2 linked regions of the Schizosaccharomyces pombe genome follow. The gene in region 1 interacts genetically with each later gene. Each region holds a gene or a part of one and is shown on either strand. Other genes may lie near its edges.

Evidence for each region.
Region 2: mutations in rcm1 (region 1) and plb3 together harm fitness less than expected from each alone (positive genetic interaction), as found in Schizosaccharomyces pombe (one large-scale study listed by BioGRID).

Annotation. Positions count from the first base shown.
Region 1 is NC_003424.3:4,268,504-4,273,118, reverse strand, and holds rcm1 (rRNA methyltransferase), read left to right. Parts: upstream 1-2,215; 5' UTR 2,216-2,247; coding exon 2,248-2,383; exon of another isoform or gene 2,384-2,444; coding exon 2,445-2,503; exon of another isoform or gene 2,504-2,564; coding exon 2,565-3,752; 3' UTR 3,753-4,010; downstream 4,011-4,615. Other genes in the region: 3'-5'-exoribonuclease Dis32, read left to right, coding at 1-1,822. UniProt on the Schizosaccharomyces pombe protein: S-adenosyl-L-methionine-dependent methyltransferase that specifically methylates the C(5) position of a cytosine in 25S rRNA.
Region 2 is NC_003424.3:1,069,405-1,074,469, reverse strand, and holds plb3 (lysophospholipase Plb3), read left to right. Parts: upstream 1-2,107; 5' UTR 2,108-2,342; coding exon 2,343-4,331; 3' UTR 4,332-4,547; downstream 4,548-5,065. Other genes in the region: SPOM_SPAC1A6.11 (uncharacterized protein), read right to left, coding at 616-936; wdr55 (WD repeat-containing protein), read right to left, coding at 4,654-5,065.

The sequences.
Region 1 (4,615 bases):
AAATGTAGAATATGTTTCCAAAAAATCCTCGTACGCGATTTTCATTCCAAAAGATAAACGTCTGCCCTTTATCACAATTCACAAAAATGATTTAAGCGATTTAAGTGGTGAAAATTGGATTGAAAATATTTTGAAACACCACGATCAGTTGTTTTCAGTTGAGATTACAAGGTGGAGTATTTACTCTCGTTACCCTATGGGTGTATTAGGTGAAAAGCTGGGAAATATTACTGACGTGGAGGCTTACACTAATGCGCTTTTGCTAGAAAATGGAATTAGTAGCTCTCCCTTCTCTGATGAGGTTTTAAACTGCTTGCCTCCTGATGATTGGATTATCTCACATGAGGAAATAAAAAAACGAAGAGATTTAAGAAATGAGTTAATTATTACCATTGATCCTGAAACAGCTCGTGACTTGGATGATGCTGTTTCCTGTCGCGCTCTTGACAATGGCACTTATGAAGTGGGTGTCCACATCGCTGATGTTACTCATTTTGTAAAACCAGATTCAGCATTGGACAAAGAGGCAGCTTCGCGGGCTACAACAGTATACCTTGTGCAAAAGGCTATTCCGATGCTTCCTCCTCTGTTGTGTGAACGACTTTGTTCATTAAATCCCAACGTTGAGCGTCTTGCATTTAGCGTTTTTTGGAAACTCGACTCCAATGGTAAGGAAATTGGTAAGCGTTGGTTTGGCAAAACAGTTATAAAGACATGTGCCAGACTTGCCTACAGTGAGGCTCAAGGTGTGATCGAAGGAAAGTCCTGGGATGATGCTGTAGGCAAACCGATAGGAGGTACGCATACTCCAAAAGATGTTGAAACGTCTATATTAACACTTTGCGAAATTTCGAGAAAGCTTCGCAAAGATCGATTTGCTAAGGGCGCTGTAGAGATTAACTCGACAGAACTCAAATTCCAATTAGATGAATATGGAATGCCGAATAAATGCGAGGTATATGAGCAAACCGATGCAAATCATCTCATCGAAGAGTTTATGCTTCTCGCCAATAGATCTGTTGCTGAACATATCAGTAAAAATTTCTCCAATAATTCCTTGCTTCGTCGCCATGCAAGTCCTAAAGAGAAACAAATTAATGAGTTTTGTCACTTTCTAAAAAGCATGAACTTCGATTTCGATGCATCGTCTTCAGCTGCATTTAATGCCTCTATGGTACGACTCAGAAGCACTTTTAATGAAGAATTGGTAGAATTATTTGAAAATATGGCAGTTCGCTCGTTAAATCGTGCTGAATACTTTTGTACTGGCGATTTCGGTGAGAAAACAGACTGGCACCATTACGCTCTTTCATTTAATCATTATACCCATTTTACTTCTCCGATTAGAAGATACCCTGACATTATTGTTCATCGTTTATTGGAACGTAGCCTTAAGAACACATCCCCGGGTATTGACAAAAAAAATTGTTCGTTAGTGGCTGCACATTGTAATGAAAAGAAGGAGAAATCCACCACTGTGCAAGAAGATAGCCAGCAACTCTTTTTGTCTGTATATATTGCTGAGTATTGCAAAAAGCATGATAAGAAATCTATGCCAGTTCAAGCATTTGCGACTAGAATATCTGGAAATTCTATTGATGTCTATATCTCTGAATATGGAATATCCAACAGAGTAGACCTCAGTTCAGATGATAGAATTAAAAGTTTTATAGTTGCTCCCGATGACTCCTCTGTTAAAATTACGTTGTTTGATGATTCTCAAAAGACTATAGCTCTTACGGATCGTTTCCAAGTTTATTTATATTCTGATTACAGTCGTACATTTTTCAGTATTCGCTGTAGTCTAGTTTCTTTGAATTAAAGGCCTAGTGTTGTTTATGAATTTTTGACTGAAATATAACTTTGTTAATTTTGGGTCAGATTACCTTTTATTTATGATGCATGCCACCTATTGAATGGTTGTTCACGTTTATCCTACACATTTTAAAACGCTTATTATTATTACTATTATGTTTCATGGATTATGACAATTGAATGACTTTGTTATGCCCAGACGACTTATGTTTGATATATTTTTCTCATTCGTGAGAGAAACACAATTAAAATAAAAAATTTAACATCAATAAGAAATTTCTTTAGTTAACAAATTCACTTTGGCTGCAATTGTTGAATATTTTATTTATACCTATACATACAAGTAACAATAGACATTGTGACCTGAGTAAGGTACTCAGTTTTGTGCAGCAGCTTTTCCACTACTCATACCGAGGAGGATCTTGCCTCGATATGGATTTTTATAATCATGCTGCCAACATACTTTCAGATTTAAGTAAAAAAAAAGGATCAATTAAGCAATTAGCATTTAATTCAAAAAAACATGATCCAAAACGCACTTATGCTTTGGTTTGCGAAACTCTCAAATGTAAACAAGAATAGTAAAACTTTAATATAAACGATTTGACTAACTTTCTTCTTTTATATAGATAAACCTGTTTTGGATGAAATAATTGCGCGATCCGAGTTATTAGTTTTAGAGAAAAAGGTACAAATTAATGAAACGATAGTTGTTTCGTAATTTTTTGAAGCTAACCTGGTTATTGTAGTTAAAAGAAAATTTGGCTAGAGTCCTTGTCCATGATTTACTGATGTCAAAGCGAGGGTTATCCATTTCAAATGGTCCTATCAAGGAATGCATTCTTCGTCACAAGACACGCCTGAACGCCGAGTTTGTCAAACTCAAGGTGAAAAAAGGGGTTAAGAGCCATGAGGAGCTGGCATTGAAAAATCCTGTGTCGCTCCCTCGCTGGCTTCGAATAAATACCATTAAAAGCACAAAAGACGAGGTTTTGCAAGGTTTAGGCTTGGATAAAGTCAGTTCAATTGAGGAACTGGGCCCCGACAAATTTTATATTGATGATTGTGTTGAAAACTTAATAGCCATCGATCCATCATTTCCTATAGTTGAAAATTCATTGTACAAGGAGGGGAAAGTGATTATTCAGGACAAGGCATCTTGTTTTCCTGCTGCTGTATTGGCCGGGCTAACTGGTCACGTTGGTGATATAATAGATGGATGTGCTGCTCCAGGGAACAAAACTACTCATTTAGCTGCTTGTTTTCCAAAATCTCATATATTTGCATTTGAACGTGACGCGAAAAGAGTGCAGACACTTCGAAAAATGGTGGGAATATCAGGCGCTAATAATGTCACCATCGAACATCAAGATTTTACCCTAACTGATCCCAAGAGTGATCTTTACCGAAATGTCACTCATATCCTGCTTGATCCTTCTTGTTCTGGTTCTGGAATTGTGAGTCGTCAAGACTATCTGCTGGGTAATGAACAAGACGTTACGGAAGATACCGAAAGACTTGAAAATTTGTGTAGTTTTCAGTCTACCATTTTAAAGCATGCTTTACAATTTCCTAACTGCCGCCATGTCACATATTCTACATGTTCAGTGCACCGTTTAGAAAACGAACAAGTAGTATGTGAGGTTTTGTCGCAAGAACCTGACTGGAAATGTAACTCTTTGACAAAAACTCTACCCAACTGGAAAACTCGAGGAATTCCAGAGTATTGTGCTCAACCTTCAATGGCTGAAGGAATGATTCGGTGTAAACCAGGAGCCGGAGGTACTATTGGTTTTTTTGTAGCCAATTTGTATCACCCTCAAAGAGAGCAAGAAACTTTCAAAATGTATAAAAATGATGATGATACCAAAAAGCGTAAGCGCAAAAAGAAAAAGAAGGAAGTGAAGAAAAAGGCTCGCATACAAGGTGAAGAGTAAATTCATCAAAGCATTAAGACAAATTATCGCATAGCACTTATTCAACAAAGTGAGAGAAGCTATCGTTGTATGATCTCAATTTCTATAGACAATTTTTTGTGTTTTTGGAAAACACACATATTTAATTTTTTTTTCTTTACGGCTTTGGTTAAGGACTGGATACTAAAAAAAAATACACATCTTACGGGGACTAATCGGAAATGGATATTAAGTAGGCAAGATAAGTAATCATTAAATTTGAGCATTAACTAAATGAGCCTGAGGAAATGATGAAATTGTATTTAAAGGGATTACTAAGTCTTTTTCGCTAACCTAACAACTATATGGTAAGAGTAAGAACAACATTAGCATGTGAACAACTACGATTAGCCAAATCATTATCTTAACAATTTCAAAAACAGTAAGGCTTCTCAAACAATGTTGTATTGCTCAATCATGAAAAAAAGAAGAAACGACCGTTGTGTTTATACTTCCATGCACATCCTGCGAAGGTGAATCCCATCGCTATCGCACTGCCCAAGACCCGGTAGTGATGTGCATTGTTTCCAACCTCCATCGGTACTACACGGTTTAACTGCCAGTTGCCACGAAGACTACTCTTCGAACAGACGTGGCAGATCGAGGGATCGAAAGCGAGACTCGAACCCGAGACCACCGAACATGCACTATTGGGAGTACTAAACACTTCGACCAAGCCATTACAGCGAATACATATATGTATTAATAAATTATATAGAAAATAAATAAGTTAATTCGCATAAACAAAAGTTTCAACTTTTCATTGCAAACCCTTTAAAGCTTTTCATCGCGTGCACGCATATTATAAAAAAATATGATCTTATTTCTTTGTAAATAATAAAAAT
Region 2 (5,065 bases), 3.2 Mb from region 1:
TTTTCTATTGTGAGCTTTCGTTTGCTGTAATTCAGTTTTGTTGACGGCTCCAAATTGGACGTGTTCTAGTTGTTTATGAGAGTTGCTGTTATATATAGTTGCGAAAATAAGTCATTTTTTTAATTCTTGGTTGTAATAAGAATGTTGTTTGTCTATATAAATAAGTTGACTGTAATTTTTTTGTTTTGTTTGATTCAAAAAATTATTATTTATATGTATATATTTTGTATGATAAAATTTGATTTTTAAAGGTTTGCTATACTTGAACAAGGAATAGTGAACTTTAACATACAGCCTATAATTCATTAATTAGGATGAGGAAGGAGATGTAGAAATGAAAAAATTTAGTTAACGTAAAACAGATTATACGATCATTTACAAATTATATCAACTGTACGCAATTTAATCAATGAAGTAGTGGGGATGTAGATGAGACAGTATAGAATACATCACAACGAGTAATGGGAGAAAAAAATTGTAGTAGTTGCGCGGGTTTTGCTCGGCCTCGGGCTTTACTTTCTAATCCGATGACTGTGAGTTACGTGTTTTGCAAAATTATTTAGCAAGTGTGCATTTTATGCTTTAAGTCTAAACGAAATGGGATCCGAGTTAACTTTAAGTTGAGGCTTTGCTTTTGATATAGGTATGCGCATGCGATTTACAAAAATCTAATCGAACAGAAGTAAGTATGTGTGTATGATAATAACATTTTGATAAATAAAGAAAACTGGCTAAACATATATTATGTAGAATTGAAAGAGCATAATTACAAGAAGAAAGACACTTGAAGATATGTTGTGATGTCATTAGATGTAGCGACTTTACAAACATGAAACTATGAGGAAAAAAAGAGTTACTGAGAGAGATTGATGATATTTTATATACACCATGACTCCAAAGATTGAAGGAAGTTAATAAATAAACATTGTGATTCATATTTTAATCAATTATGTAAAATGCGGCCAGTTGTAATGTAATGCGACTAATTTGATGCCAGTAATGTGTGTTAAATAATAGTCAAGGACAATCTGCAAGTTCCTTAGAAAGGTCCGGTTTCGAAGAGGCACACTTAATATCCGAGGGCGGCGCAGTTGAAATAACCAGCCCGGTTGAACGCTACATTCTCCTATACTTAACCTGCAAATGTTTCCGTCGTTAAGGATTTTAGATATATAGCTTAGCAACATTCATCCCAATGTGAACTTTAAAGCAGTCATAGTTGACCAGAAGATGAGCAACAAATTCAACGTAAAGGCTTGCGTCTCAGCGACTGCTCAAAATATAGATTTACACAACAACTTTACATATTAAGCGATATTTAAAGGACCGACAGTCTCGGTCTCTTTTCGCATAGAACGGAAGGGCATTTACATCATGGGGATGTAAATGGACCTTTTTTGATCTACAAAATGGGAATCTAAAAAATCTGTCAAAGATAGACATATGTGTCTCTGCTTACATATATATACATATATATATAGGCTGAATCACTTTCAACTTGCCTTTTCCCAATATTAAAATTATCGCACAAGTCGCTACTTTAGCTACTACTAACTTTTAGGGTAAGAAAGTGTAAGGGGGGATTTGCTTGGAGACTAGGCATGAGCTTGTATTTAATTGGAATAAAAGAAAAAGAATAGGAATTCATGAATTTGTTGAATGAAATTGCAAAACTGCAAGTCATTTGTATGAAACATAAAGCAGATGAATCCCAGGTTTTCGGTTACGATGCGACGTTTGCCGATGAACAGAAATGGTAAATGGTTTCGCATTTGATTCCGCAATACCGCAAACAGAAAATTTTATAAACCATGGAATTGTCAAGCGTTTCGCCAAATTCAAGAGCAAAATCCAGTGTTTATCTTAACATTGAGACGCTATGCTTTTTAATAAAAATCAATAACTTTGGATACTAACTTGTCATTTATTTAGACACAAATTACAATAATCAGATCCTCATATACCGGAGCAGAAATAACAGCACGGTAAGCAGATACAGTGATACAGTAAGAGCTGCGTTGGAATACGGGTGAATTTCAGCTATAAGGAGTTTTAAAATTTTTACGTAGTAGGGCGCTTTTGGTTTAATTTGTTTCACCATCCGTTTACAAATATTCCGTTGTTGTGTTGTTTTCGTTCACAAGAAAATTGTTTGAGGGTATAGTCAATTTTCTAAACTTTTGTGGGTCTAGAGAGACAGTCGTTGATTCCATCGTTTGTTTTGAGCGCGTTTTTGTAACGGCCTTCTAATCTCTGAGTTCAAGCAAAGCGGTGTGTAGATTTTGGCATAATTTCCCAAATTTATTGACCTAAAGACGGTTTAACTATAAAAAAAAAAGACAATGTTATTTAATTGTTTTGGAATACTCGCTCTGCTCCAGATCCTGCCGGCCTTGGCGTACCCGCCTTGTCGCGAGCAAATGTCGGATCCGTATGAGTTTGGGGAATCTGACTTAATGAGACCGGGCATGCATGACACGCCTCTTTCATTAATGCAAAAACGAGAGGCTTTGGCGATTTCGCTTTCCAAGCGCGACAGTGTTGGATCATACGCGCCTTATAATGTAACTTGTCCTAGTGACTATATGCTACGACCTGCTTCTGACGGAATAAGTTCAGGCGAGCAAAGTTTCATTGATAAACGTATCCCCAAAATCAATACACAAATGAGGTCCTTTATTTCCAACACTGGTTTGGACGTAGATGTAAACTCTGTGATTAATGATTCAGATGGCCCTCGTTTAGGACTTGCATTTTCTGGCGGTGGACTCCGCGCTATGGTCCACGGAGGAGGTGTTTTAAATGCTTTCGATTCTCGAAATGGCAATGGTTCTTCACTTGCTGGAATTCTTCAATCCGCCATGTATATCGCTGGTCTTTCTGGTGGTTCATGGCTGGTCGGTTCCGTAGCTGTTAATAACTTTGCCAATATTACTTATCTACGTGACAACGTTTGGAATTTGGAACATAGTGTCTTTGCTCCTCATGGTGACAATGTTGTCGAAAATCTTGCTTATTATGACGACCTGGATGATGAGATTGATCAAAAGAAAGATGCAGGATTCGATACTTCTTTGACCGATCTTTGGGGACGCGCTTTATCTCGTAAGCTTGTCGATGCTACCCAAGGTGGTCCAAATATCACATTTTCTAGCATTAGAAACCAAACTTGGTTCCAAAATGCCGACTATCCTTATCCCATCATTATATCTGACAGTCGTTTGGAAGAGGAAAAAGCTATCCCTGCCAACACCAGTATATTCGAATTTACTCCATACGAGTTTGGTACTTGGGACAATGGTATTAAAGCTTTTCTCCCTATGGAATACGTCGGTACCCATTTAAAGAATGGTGTTCCACCAGACCATAAGTGCATTCGTAACTATGATAATGCCGGTTTTGTTATGGGTACTTCAGCTACATTGTTCAACACGTTTCTGTTAGAATGGAGTCAGGAAGTAACGTCAAATAGTACTCTCTATGATATTATTCATAAAGTATTTGAAAAACTTTCTGAGGATCAAAATGACATCGCTCCTTACCCCAATCCTTATCAGAATTTCACGACTACAAACACCACCGTCAAAAACCCTTTTGAGCGATTCGATACTATTGATTTAGTAGATGGTGGTGAAGACGATGAGAACATTCCTATTTGGCCTTTGTTACATCCTCAAAGATTTGTTGACGTTATATTTGCTGTTGACGCAACTTATGATGATTCTAATGGTTGGCCTGATGGCTCTTCTATTGTTACTACATATGAAAGGATTATAACTTATAACGCCAATAAAAGTGTTGATGTTCGAGGTTTCCCGTATATCCCTGATGAGGACACAATCATTTCCTTGGGACTGAACACTCATCCAACATTCTTTGGATGTGACGGCAGAAACACTACTGCAGGTAATCATACCGTAGATAACAATACACCTCCTCTTCTTGTTTATTTCCCCAATTATCCTTGGGTTTACTATTCCAATATTTCCACGTTTACCATGTCTATGAATGACACTTTGTCCAGTGGCATTCTTGAAAATGCTGCTCTATCGGCTACTCAAAACAACAGCGATTCATTTGCAGTCTGTTTGGCATGCGCCATGATACAACGTTCCTTGGAGCGCAAAAATATGTCTACTCCTAGTCAATGCTCTTCTTGTTTTGAACAATACTGCTGGAATGGAACAACCGTGAACAACCCTAGTGCCGTTTCAAACTATGCTCCTACTGTGTTATCTGCATCAACCACTTCTGGTACCTCTTCTGTACGAGCCAAACCTATAGTATTTTATTTATTTGCTTCGCTTCTAACAGTTTCGTTACTATTATAGACGACGAAAGCCTCCCCCACTCACACACCTTGGTATGAGTCACTTTTCGACTTGAAAGAATTAAAAAGCATAGACTGAGTCAGGCTTTTATTTATTAATTGTAAGGTATTAATCACTACCAAACTTGTGGGGTTCAAAGGTTTTGTAGTTTTAGTGTTAGTGTTAGTGAATTCATTTTAAGTTTTCGAAGCACAATGTTTCTTTTCTCTAATGAAGATGTTTAGTTTAGTTAATTTAGGAAGATCGCTTTTATTTTTAAATATACAGACAATTAATTTTAATAATGATTGTGCAATTTTATAGATATCAAAGCTGTTTTGAATTATAAACCGTCAAAAAAGTCAGTTCCTAAAGGCTTTTTCCCTTGATTTCCCACCTTTTTCTTTTTCTTAGGACTCGAGAATTCAGAGTCGCTGCTGGAATCTTCATCACTATCTAAATTATCAGAGGAGGATGACTCATCTCCTTCCTTCTGATCAACCGGCCAGAAAGCTAGTTCGGTTCCACTACAGGAAACTAAAAAATTGCCTTCGGTAGTAACATCCACAGCGTCTACGGTTGATCGCGAAGAGTGTTGCCCTATAATTCTTTCGTATTTGTTTGGAAGAATGTGTAACAAACGTATACATCCGTCGCTTCCGCCAACATACAGACTGTCAGAATCAGCACGAGTTATTGTTTCTATTGAAAAATCATGGGACCGAATTGGCGATAAAATGCGATCGGTATGATCC